2 linked regions of the Schizosaccharomyces pombe genome follow. The gene in region 2 interacts genetically with the main gene of each other region. Each region holds a gene or a part of one and is shown on either strand. Other genes may lie near its edges.

Region 1 (3,851 bases), on a different chromosome or scaffold from region 2:
GCCTTGACCTAATGTCAGCTAAAAACTTCTAAACAACTTTATATAAACCAACTTAACATATTTTAGCAGTTACAATCAAAAGAATTAATTACCTAAGTTCGTGGGTTACTAAATTGAAAATGAAAATAAGGAAATTTTTACAAAGAATCAATTATATATAATCCAAAACCCTAAGTTCAATAATATAACAGCGATGATACATATCCTTTAGTCAAGCCACTTACTGGGTTGGACATCCTGCAGTTTCCATAGAATTATCAATCAATGGAGCTGGAAGCGGCTTTTCCTGTATTTCTTCTACCAGTTTCGAAATGATATCTGCATCTTTACGAGCATCATATTCGGGACTCTCAAAAATTTGAATACATTTCTGAATTTTCTGGTACTGTTCTTCAAAACCTTGCTTCTCTGTCTCCTTCGCATTCTTTAAAAACTTAGGATAGTTTGCTTCAAGATCTTTAAGGGGTTCATACAAAATCTCTTTACTGGTAACTTGTGACATTAGGGAGTTTAAGGCAGCCTCTAAAGCACCATAGTTAACGGCTCCATTATCCGAATCTTTTTCCGTTGCAAACTGATCCTCTAATATAACATTGAGTAACTGATCATTCTGAAAGCTAGACGAAAGTTGACTCCCATCCAAGCCAGACGGTCCCCCTAAGTCTTCAAATTTGCTCATCATTTCTTGAATAAGTGAATTCAAATTATCGTCATTCTTTATCCTCTCATTCTCTTTTGATGTATTACCGGTTTGTTTATGCTCATCTATGTTTTTCTTCTCTTCGTTCTTAAATGCACTGGGTACATCTAAATCATCTAGGATATCTTTGTTTTGTTAGTTGTTTCCTTTTAATGTAAAGTCCTTTCTACCCTCTCATTATTTTTTATATTTATGCAATGCAAAATTCACTTGAACGAAATATCGTAATACACAAATCGTAGTCAGGACATTACCGATGTTCCATACCATCCAAATCATCAAGGTCGTCAAAATTCGGCTTTGTGTTGCTTTTTGTATTTTCTTTACGGTTTTCGTCTCCCTCAATAGTTGGATTTGACATTCCGTTTATATATCAGATGTCAGCATACGTTTGTCGTTTTTCAAAAGCCTCTTGCAAGTTCAATTATCATGTAATTCACAAAATAAATAAAAAAGTAGTAAGTTCAAAAAAAATGAAAATTTGGAACTGCCAAAAAAAAATAATAAAGTGCTTCTCTATTATTTTTCATGTAGGTAAAACCGTAGTGATCGTTGTTTATCAAAGTATATCAGCGTGAAAACGTTCAAGTGCATTAAGATGCGTTATTTGGTTTCAAATTTGACGCAATTTTAAATCTTCAAACAACAAATTTAATGGAATTTTTTTTATTTACTGGATGTATGAATCGTTTTAATTATTCATTGTTTGTGTATCTGGTATGAATCGAGTACGAAATTAACGATCATAAAATCGTCGACACAAGAACGTAAAGTCTACCCCCTGCTTTTATTACTTGCCTATGATCAGTTGAAATGAAGCTTTGTTTTCATTTTTAGCATCACCAATAAGTTAGAATTGACTACTGTTTACCAACAACAATTAGTTAAATAGTTATTGACTATAACATTGATCCATACGCACAATTACTTCGAAAAAAATTATTATTTTGCTCTTCCAACTTAACGATTTTCTGTACTGCGTTAACATATTATTGTAGGCTTGACACTCAGCTGCGGTGACATTATATTAAATAAAATGTAATTTTTTCAGTAAACAAATTAAGGAATTAAGTAATAGTTTGGTAACGTCTCATGAGAAGAAAACTCTTGAGCCACTAAATTGTTCTTACCATTTTCCATTATCTTTTTTAAGAAATCGAGGTTCTAATTGAGCTGGTATTGCGGGCAATAGAGCTTCTTGTAATATAGAAATTATAATCGACGGTTTTATTTCATTTGGGCTGAGAAAAAAATTAAATTGCTAGCTTTCATAAGTCGATACACTGAGCAATAGCCATCCTTCCGGCTTTTAAAAAAGGAAGCTCATTAACAAAGTATCCTCTATCTTTGTTTTATTGTTACTACTTTTGAAATTTTTTCCTCTTTCTTTTGGAATATCCATTTCTTTGTAATTTTCATTTTCTTTGTTATAATTAATCAGACGATTTCACGTTTGAAGTTGGTATCTTTATTTGTTGTTACTGTTCATTTCCTTAATTCATGGAGACCTTATCTTATTCTCAGATTAAGAAACGCAAAGCTGATTTTGACGAAGACATTTCTAAGCGTGCTCGTCAACTACCTGTGGGTGAGCAACTGCCATTGTCGAGACTGCTACAATATTCAGACAAACAACAGCTTTTTACAATTTTATTACAATGTGTAGAAAAGCATCCTGATCTCGCACGTGATATACGGGGCATATTACCGGCGCCGTCCATGGATACTTGTGTTGAAACGTTGCGTAAACTTTTAATTAACTTGAATGACTCATTTCCCTATGGTGGTGACAAGAGGGGTGATTACGCATTTAATAGAATTCGTGAAAAGTACATGGCTGTCTTACATGCGCTTAATGATATGGTTCCTTGTTATTTACCTCCATACTCTACTTGTTTTGAGAAAAATATTACTTTTCTTGATGCCGCTACAAACGTTGTCCACGAACTGCCAGAATTCCATAATCCCAACCATAATGTTTATAAAAGTCAAGCGTACTATGAATTAACGGGCGCGTGGCTTGTTGTTTTAAGACAACTTGAGGATCGGCCTGTAGTCCCTTTACTACCTTTGGAAGAGTTGGAAGAGCACAATAAAACATCACAAAACAGAATGGAAGAGGCATTAAATTACCTTAAGCAATTACAAAAAAATGAGCCACTTGTACATGAAAGAAGTCATACTTTTCAACAAACAAATCCACAAAACAATTTTCATCGTCATACTAATAGTATGAACATTGGGAATGACAATGGAATGGGTTGGCACAGTATGCATCAATATATTTAAAAACTAGAACAGAAGGCCTATAAGGAAACATATAATGGCTAATAGGAAAGCGGTTTGCACAGTAACTGTGTTATGAATTTGAGGAACAACCTTGGCACCACTAGTCGGACGCCCAAAAGACGATGAAACGCGTGCAAGTCCTATTTGATTTCCACTGTTTCCAGCGAACATAGATGGACTCGTAGCTGTTGATTGTCTTGTGTTATTAATTACATTAGCGGTAGATCTTAATGCATTATTTTCATTGTTAGGAGAAGTGGTAGTAGGCACTGACTGAGGCTTTGGGTAAGGTTCATTTTCAGCGACTGTTGCAGTAGGAGCTTTTACGGCAGTAGATGGGGCTTCATGGGGCTTCTGGTGAGAAACTGCAGATGTTTTAGGAAGCTGGGTATGCTGTGTAGTAGCTGTAGATGGAGCAGCTACGGGATTTGCATGGGTCGAAGGAAGTGCCGTTCCGTCTATTCCTTTAGAGTAAGATTGATTAACATTACCATTTACTGTGGTATAATTGTCAGTGGCAGAAGTAGGAATAGATGTAGTCGTTGTTTGAGCTGGTTGATGGTGAGCATTAGCATGAGCATTTGCAGTACTGGGGCCTTCACTATAAACACATCGAATTTTTCGTTCCGATATATTAGCCTTGCTGACTTGAGTCCACTATTAAAGTATTGGTTAGAACATCAATTATGTATGGCATGTATTAAAAAAGTAAATGTAAGTATATCTTTTATCACATACAATATCTGCTATATCCATTCCCTGTAATTCTGGCTTCAATTCAGTGCTCTGGACCAAAAATTTATCGCGGCATTTTGTGCCAGGAGCCGGTTCGTGATCTAGAGGCTGTAGGATAACTATTAAA
Region 2 (7,014 bases):
TTCTGCAGATGTAATACACCCACTGCAGGCCAAACAATCGTTCAGTGAAATACTAGCAATCCCAAGTTCGGAGGTCTCTCCAGTATCCTTAGTTACTTCATAGTAAGCATCCCCGTCTATACGAATGTCATTCTATCATGTTAGTTGGTTGAACAAAAAAAATAGAGATGTGACAGATGTTATACTTGCTGCTCTTCCAATGCATCTTACCTTGGATTCCTGCTTTTTAACTTGGGCAGGCTTTATGCAAACAGCTCCAGGACTTAAGAAGTCATTCAAGTCATTTACAGACAACTTTGCCATTCTGCCATAAAATTACAATGCTTGCTAAAAGTAAAACCCAGCATTTGTCATTGGCACAAGAAATTCTTTATTTTAGTAATATTATTTGCCACACTGTGGTGCACTATCCTTTTTATGAGACCTGAAAAAAATAAATGAAGTATGGAATAGTGAAACATGGTTTACTGCCTTATTCGTTTGCATTCTCAGTACCCGAAAATCATCAATATATATATATATATGTATAAAAAAGAAGATACTTTATTATAGTATTGTATTTATCAAACAGTTTGAGCTTGTTATTTCCGAATGATATATTTTATTTGTAGATTTAAATAAGTAAAAAAAAACTAAAGAAATGAGGGTAAACAAAACGAGATCCGTATAAAGTAAAACAACGGTTATGGTAAATTAGTATACAAATATTTTCATAATGTTCTTCACGTGTGAAAACTTATAAAAAATGCAAATGTCCATGAATAAACAGCGGGTTCAAGTTAAGGAATGCAACGCACTGAAATAAATACTTAAAGAAGGATAAAAATGCCACATTGGTCAAAAGAAAAAATAGTTAATTTTTTAAAGAATGTGCATGGGAAGTTATAAAATGAAAGGAAAGAAACAGTATATGAAGCTGATCTGGCATTTAGTATGTAAGATTCAATTCAAGAGTGCCAAACATCTAACTTTCGTAGACAGCTTTCAATGTTCTCACAAGTAATGGGTTTCAACAAAACTCCATCAGATTGTAAATCAGTCGGAATGCAAGTCTCGTCCTCGCAAATGTATACAAACGGCACCCTTGAATTTATAGTAGCACTGGTTCGCACTGAATACATTAATCGGGAAGAAGATACTTTATCATTTCCAAAATGTAAGAATACGACGTTAAATTGCTCGTTCTGCAAAAGCTTCTTAAGAATGCTCCATGGATCATCTATTAGAACAAGCGTTAACTTTGGAAAAATTTTTTTCAAGATCTCCGCAAGTTCAATTTCATCCTTAGGAATTATCATTTGTAAACGGTCAAGCTGAAATAACCCTGGATAAGAAATGGCATTTCGCTTATGAGTTAAACTCTGAGCTTGTAAGTTGTCAATCCTGCCCTTCTGAATTGTAGTATGTTCATCTGATGAGGTACCCTCTGTAACGTCTGGTAACGCCGTGTGCATGCTTGATTGCGATTGTGATGCTGACATAGTGCTTGAAACACCCTTATGATCTTCTAACGCTAAATTATCAAAAAATGAAAGCATCCGACCTTCTTTCAGAGAATCAAAATCATCAATTGAATCAATTGAATCTGTAGTAATATCTTGCACTCTTGTCGTGGTGGATGCCTCATAGTCAGCCATTGAAGCTCGACGCGAAGACTTAACAGGACCTACACTTTGAGAAGTTGAAAGTTTGGCTTTAAACCTACTCATGTACTGACTAAAGGTGTCATCAACAGAAGTCTTTGCTGATTTAACAGCCATATGCTCCTTTCTAAGTTTTTGAATAGTATTCCGGTTAGCTTTATTAAGAAAATCCAAGTTTCGATATGTAAAACTTCCAAATTCAGGAGTACTAATCGTATTGCTTCGTAAACGACCTTTACGATTACCAGACACATGCTGGGGTATAGAGGATGCAGGTCTTTCTTCTTCCAATTTTTGTGCTTCTGTCACCGTAGGTTGATTGTAATATTCACTGAAATCAAATCCTTTAAGTCCCCTAGAATCAAAATACACAGTGTCTTCAGGAGAAAAAGGTTTTGGTACAAATGGAGGGTCCTCTTCTAAGATAGTATCCCAGTTAACAGACTTGAAAAAAGGATGTGCTTTTATCTCCTCTACTCCGTTGGCACCAAGCCTATTTGCCGGATTCATACATAGAAGGCGATCAATCAAATCCAAAGCAACACTACTTTCAGCAGTAAAAACTTCGGCAGGCCAATTGATGCGCCTAGCAAGAATATTTTGAAAGACTTGGTCAGGCGTTTCCGCGTTAAACGGGGGGTATCCAAATAAAAACTCAAAAACAACGCAACCCAAGGACCACCAATCACTCGCTTTAATACCAGGATTTCCAAGGATAACTTCGGGTGCTATATAATCAGGTGTACCAATAAATCGCTTAGAGGGATCTTTATTTTCAAAAAACGGTTGAACTCGAGGCGAATCTGTGCTACGGAAAATGTTGGATTCGTCTACCTGAGAAGTAGGAGTATTTGTTGCAGTGGGAGAATCCTCAGCGCTGTTCTCGTAATTGAAACTTTGTCCAGCAAGTCGAATACTAGTACCATCTAAAGAAAGAAGCTTTTCATTTAATGAAGGCCGTTTGGGACGCTCTGGTGTTATCAAAGACTGTGCTTCTAGTACCGATGAAGCAGTACTAAGTGATAAATCAGATATAGCACTAGAGCGATCTCTCAAGTCAAGTACAGGAATTGAAGAACTCTGTTTTCTCCTGTGTCTTTTCATATAACCGACCCGACTCAAACCGAAATCTGTGAGCTTTAAATGTCCGTTCTGTGATATGAGTAGGTTTTCAGGTTTGATATCACGATGAATTATTCCACGATCATGAAGATCACCTAGACAAAGAACAGTTTCAGCTATATAAGTTCGAATCCAATCCAAATCTAATACACCCATGGTTTTCAGAAGTGAACCACAGTCTCCGCCGTTAAGATATTCCATAACTAAATAAAGGTAGTCTTTTGATTGAAAGGTGTAATACAACTTGGCAACAAATGGTGATTCGCCTTGAGACATGAGAATAGCACGTTCAGCTCTAACATTGATAACTTGATTCTTTGCTATCATATTCGATTTTTTTAATATTTTAATAGCAAAATAATCACCAGTAGTTCTTTTCTGAGCCAGATACACAGAGCCAAACGCACCTTTGCTAATCGGCTTCAATATTTTGTAGTCATTGATAGAAGGATGCTCAGGGGCAGAGTTGGGTACAATCGTATGTATACGAGGTGATGGTGATGGTAGACGTAGTCCCACATCTCCAAGGTTGCTGGCCCTTCCACGAGAAAACAAAGACGAACGACCGTTAGATGCTGGGCGATTCGGACCATCAGAAGCCACAAATCTTGGACTCGAATTTGGAGAAAGATACTTTAAATCATCAAAACGAGGATCGGAGAAATTGGAATCAGATGCTTTTCTTCTATGTAACGGAGAAGAATAATTTGAACTATCTTGACTCATAGGCGAACCAATTGCAAAATCTGGATTACTAAGAGAAACATGGCTAAGATGCCTTGAATAAGAAGAGGATCTTGAAAGATCATTGATATCAAGGCTTCTATCAGATTGTGGTGTATTTGTAGCGCTCCCGGGTCGAGTAATGCATTCCTCTGCCTCGAGTGCATCGCAGGCATCAGGAAAGGTAATTGAAGGCGCTAATTTAGATTCCAAGTGTCCTAAAGAAGTAGAGGAATGATTTGTTACCAAATTCGATACGACATCATCAATAATTTCTTGAACATGATGGTCAATTTCCAAACGAATACGTTCAGAGTAATAGATTGCATTTCGAAGACGCAAAACTCCAGTAATTTTAGTATCAACTGCTGTCTTTATGTCCTCCCAGAGAGCAATCACTGCGGATGAGCAATTTTCTAAGGACGGGTTATAATTATCAAGCTCGATAGTAGCTTTTTCTGACCGCGGAGACTGAACACGAAGAGAATCCACTTTATCAAAATTCACAATGATTTTCACTGGAGGAATAGTAATGTCGATAGCCACTTCCAAGTAGTACATAACCTGACTTAAGAATGAACATAGTGATAATGTTTGTTTATTCTCATCGGTAAAAAAATAATCATCCGCATCAACAATAAGCGGTTCATTTTTGTATACGGGAACAAGACTTGAATCTTTCTGCATTCCTTCCTGAATTTCCAGTAAGGTACTCCGGAAATAAAGCAAGGAATCCTGAGCAGCCTGTACAACAGATTCATAGGTGCTTGTGCTAAGACAAAACTTGGAGTGCAACTCGAAAAACCATGATTGTATTTCACGTTCACATATTTGGCAAAACTCTGGGGTCGGAAGTGGTAACGCATCTAAGCTGTTATGCTTGTGATAGGAAGTCCTTAAGTCGCATAAATATTTGTCTAAAAGACTGGCACCGAAACCGATGACATCCAATAATTTAGTTACAAGAGGAGATACACTACCAAGGGAATTGGTAGCTGGGTTCACAACCCACATCGTGTGTGCGGGAATTGCGGACCCAGGATGACGAATGAGAATTCCAATAGCATCAAAAGGTTTTGTAATTTTTTCATCGCTTGGAAGATCTCCTTTAGCGGTGTAATAGTTTTGATTGGCATGATTAGCGTTAATTGAATGTTGGAACCGAACATGATAGCTATGAGAGTCATCCTTCAAAAGACAGTTAACGGCTCTCATAAACGCATTGTATCCATCGGTACCAAGGACTTCTGCTACAGAATGCCCAATGATCTTGTCTTTGGGTATATCCAAAAGTTCGGATGAGTTATCGCTAATAAATTGAAAGTTTCCGGAAAAGTCAAGCTCGAATGCAACGGGAGATAAAGGAATGGAAGGTTGAAGGTTCTCATCTTTTGAGCTGAGAAGCTCTGCCTGGGAATGTTGAGCTTGGTCATCTTCCAAGAAGACTTCTTCGCGTTCGTTTTTTATATGCTTCATATACAACTGACGGAGTCTCCAGCATACAGTAAATTCAATAGAGGGATAGGATCATTAGAAGTATGAGCAGTAAGTATGCTAATTCGACAACTTTTTATATAAAACAAATAAACGCGCTATAAATAACTGAGTCACTGAAAAAACAAAGGAAAGAAAAACGAAGAGTATGAAATACCCAGCTGGATAATTCTAAAACAAACAAAAACAATTCTTTTAATAATGATAGAATTTCCACTCAGTATCTATACAATCAAGCTAGAAAAAAAGAACGATTTTTAGTACTTGGTGGTGGTTAGGAGTTAAGTGGCTTACAACTTAGTATTAGTATTGTGGTTCATTAGTCTGGCCGCATAATTCGTCAACAAATAAAAAATTTTTTCTCTGCTTCAGAACATAAAGTTATGCTTGTACAGCATGTATAATACTAGATAAGTATTCGGGGCGAAGATTTCATAGCAATGAAATGAATTAGGGTGGAGTGCTGTAAAGTAGCCAAGTTGAATCGACAATGTGAAGTAAAATAAACAATTTAAGAACAATTGTTTTAGCTGCTGGATTATAAATAGACAGTATGATGCCTATGGAATTTATAGATGTATGGGCACAAAAAATGGGTAAATACATGGGGTAAACATCAACATTTATAAAAAAAAAATGGTTGCAAAATTAGCACGCAAACGTTTAAAGATATCACTTTGTTTGAAAGAGGATCAATTGCTATGCAGAAGCGTGTTAGATTGGCTGCGCTTTTTTTTTATTATGTCTAGAAAACACAGACTTATAAATAATACCATCATCGCTTGGGAAGTACAGAAAAGTATAATAGAAGAATTTCAACTTGTGGGAATACATAAGCTATTTAAAAGGAAATATTTTGCGATTGCAGCTGATCTCTATATCATTGATTTTTCAATCGAGTGAAAGCAGACGGACTTGTCTTGAGTTTTTAAAAAATAAAAATAAAAAAGCACAGTAGTTACAATTAAAAATAATTATTAATTGGAATATGATATTTCCGTTTTTTAGGAATCGCTTGATCTCTTGTTTACAAAAGTAAATGATATGTTGTTTATTTTTTATTCAGTTTGTGTTACTCTTTTAAAAAGTCTAATATAACAAGATATATGAATTTGGACTTCCTATTATTTTACTTCTTTTTTTTTTTTTTGAAAGTTTCTAAATTTTTCAGAGAACAGAAATCTTAAACTATTTCCTTGCTCATTCAGAGGTGTAAACAAAGAATACGGAAAGCGGTCCATTCTCCCGCAAAGTTATATAAAAAAAAATGGAGCAAGCAGTATACAAAAAATCACATAATTAAATTTATTTATTAAGGAATGTTTTCTCATCAATGAATGTTTCCTTTTGCCTACCTTTTTCGATTTCTGCACCTTTTTAACATTTTAACATAAGGAGTGGTAGTGTAGAAACCATAAACCTAATTAGCGTACTTTCGCTTATTTTAACTTAGCCTTCACATCTTATACTTTTTAACGTATACTAGTCAAAAAATATTTTAACGAGTGTCCCTTAAATGTCGGTATAGACCTAGGTGAAATAAATATTACATATATTATTTACGAACTGGTACTCCCCTCTTACAGCATTCCGTGTAGCGGATAATTGATATTTACGACATGGATACAGCATCTCCAGAAGAGATAGATGCTTTAAAAAGACACTATTTGAAGAAGGAACTTTTCTCTCTTTTGATCGCAGACGAATTGAACTTCGTGAGCGAACCCACCAATTTGGATCATCTCGGTAGTCCATTTGTGGAAAAAGGAAAATCCGTGATCCCCTATGAAAAATCCCAAATTCCCGTTTTACGCTTCATCTTTAAAAGATTTATTTTAACGTTTCCGTTTTTGGATCCTGATAGCCAAAACCAACTTTGGAATGTGAACTTCCGCAATGTACGTAATAATGGATGGAAATGTTTTAAAAGTATGCGGATTGTTACTAACCAGATATTCTTTGTTAGCTATTAAAATCTCTCTCAAAAAGCAATGTCTCTGTTCTCCCGGATGATTCCGATGCTACGCATTTG

Evidence for each region. Genes that interact genetically often act in the same process or in processes that back each other up.
Region 1: of cek1 (region 2) and cut8, extra expression of one rescues a mutant of the other (dosage rescue), as found in Schizosaccharomyces pombe (one study listed by BioGRID).

Annotation. Positions count from the first base shown.
Region 1 is NC_003424.3:4,475,650-4,479,500, forward strand, and holds cut8 (nuclear proteasome tethering factor Cut8), read left to right. Parts: upstream 1-1,828; 5' UTR 1,829-2,200; coding exon 2,201-2,989; 3' UTR 2,990-2,992; downstream 2,993-3,851. Other genes in the region: protein Pex19, read right to left, coding at 221-825, 968-1,061; scs22 (VAMP/synaptobrevin-associated protein family protein), read right to left, coding at 2,993-3,646, 3,728-3,843. UniProt on the Schizosaccharomyces pombe protein: Together with nucleoporin alm1, tethers the proteasome to the nuclear envelope. Involved in ubiquitin-mediated protein degradation and facilitates the degradation of nuclear proteins like mitotic cyclin and cut2. Required for normal progression of anaphase.
Region 2 is NC_003421.2:1,747,686-1,754,699, forward strand, and holds cek1 (serine/threonine protein kinase Cek1), read right to left. Parts: upstream 5,259-7,014; 5' UTR 4,965-5,258; coding exon 948-4,964; 3' UTR 577-947; downstream 1-576. Other genes in the region: nar1 (iron hydrogenase), read right to left, coding at 1-132, 211-303; SPOM_SPCC1450.12 (uncharacterized protein), read left to right, coding at 6,602-6,880, 6,949-7,014. UniProt on the Schizosaccharomyces pombe protein: May facilitate the progression of anaphase through direct or indirect interaction with the cut8 protein.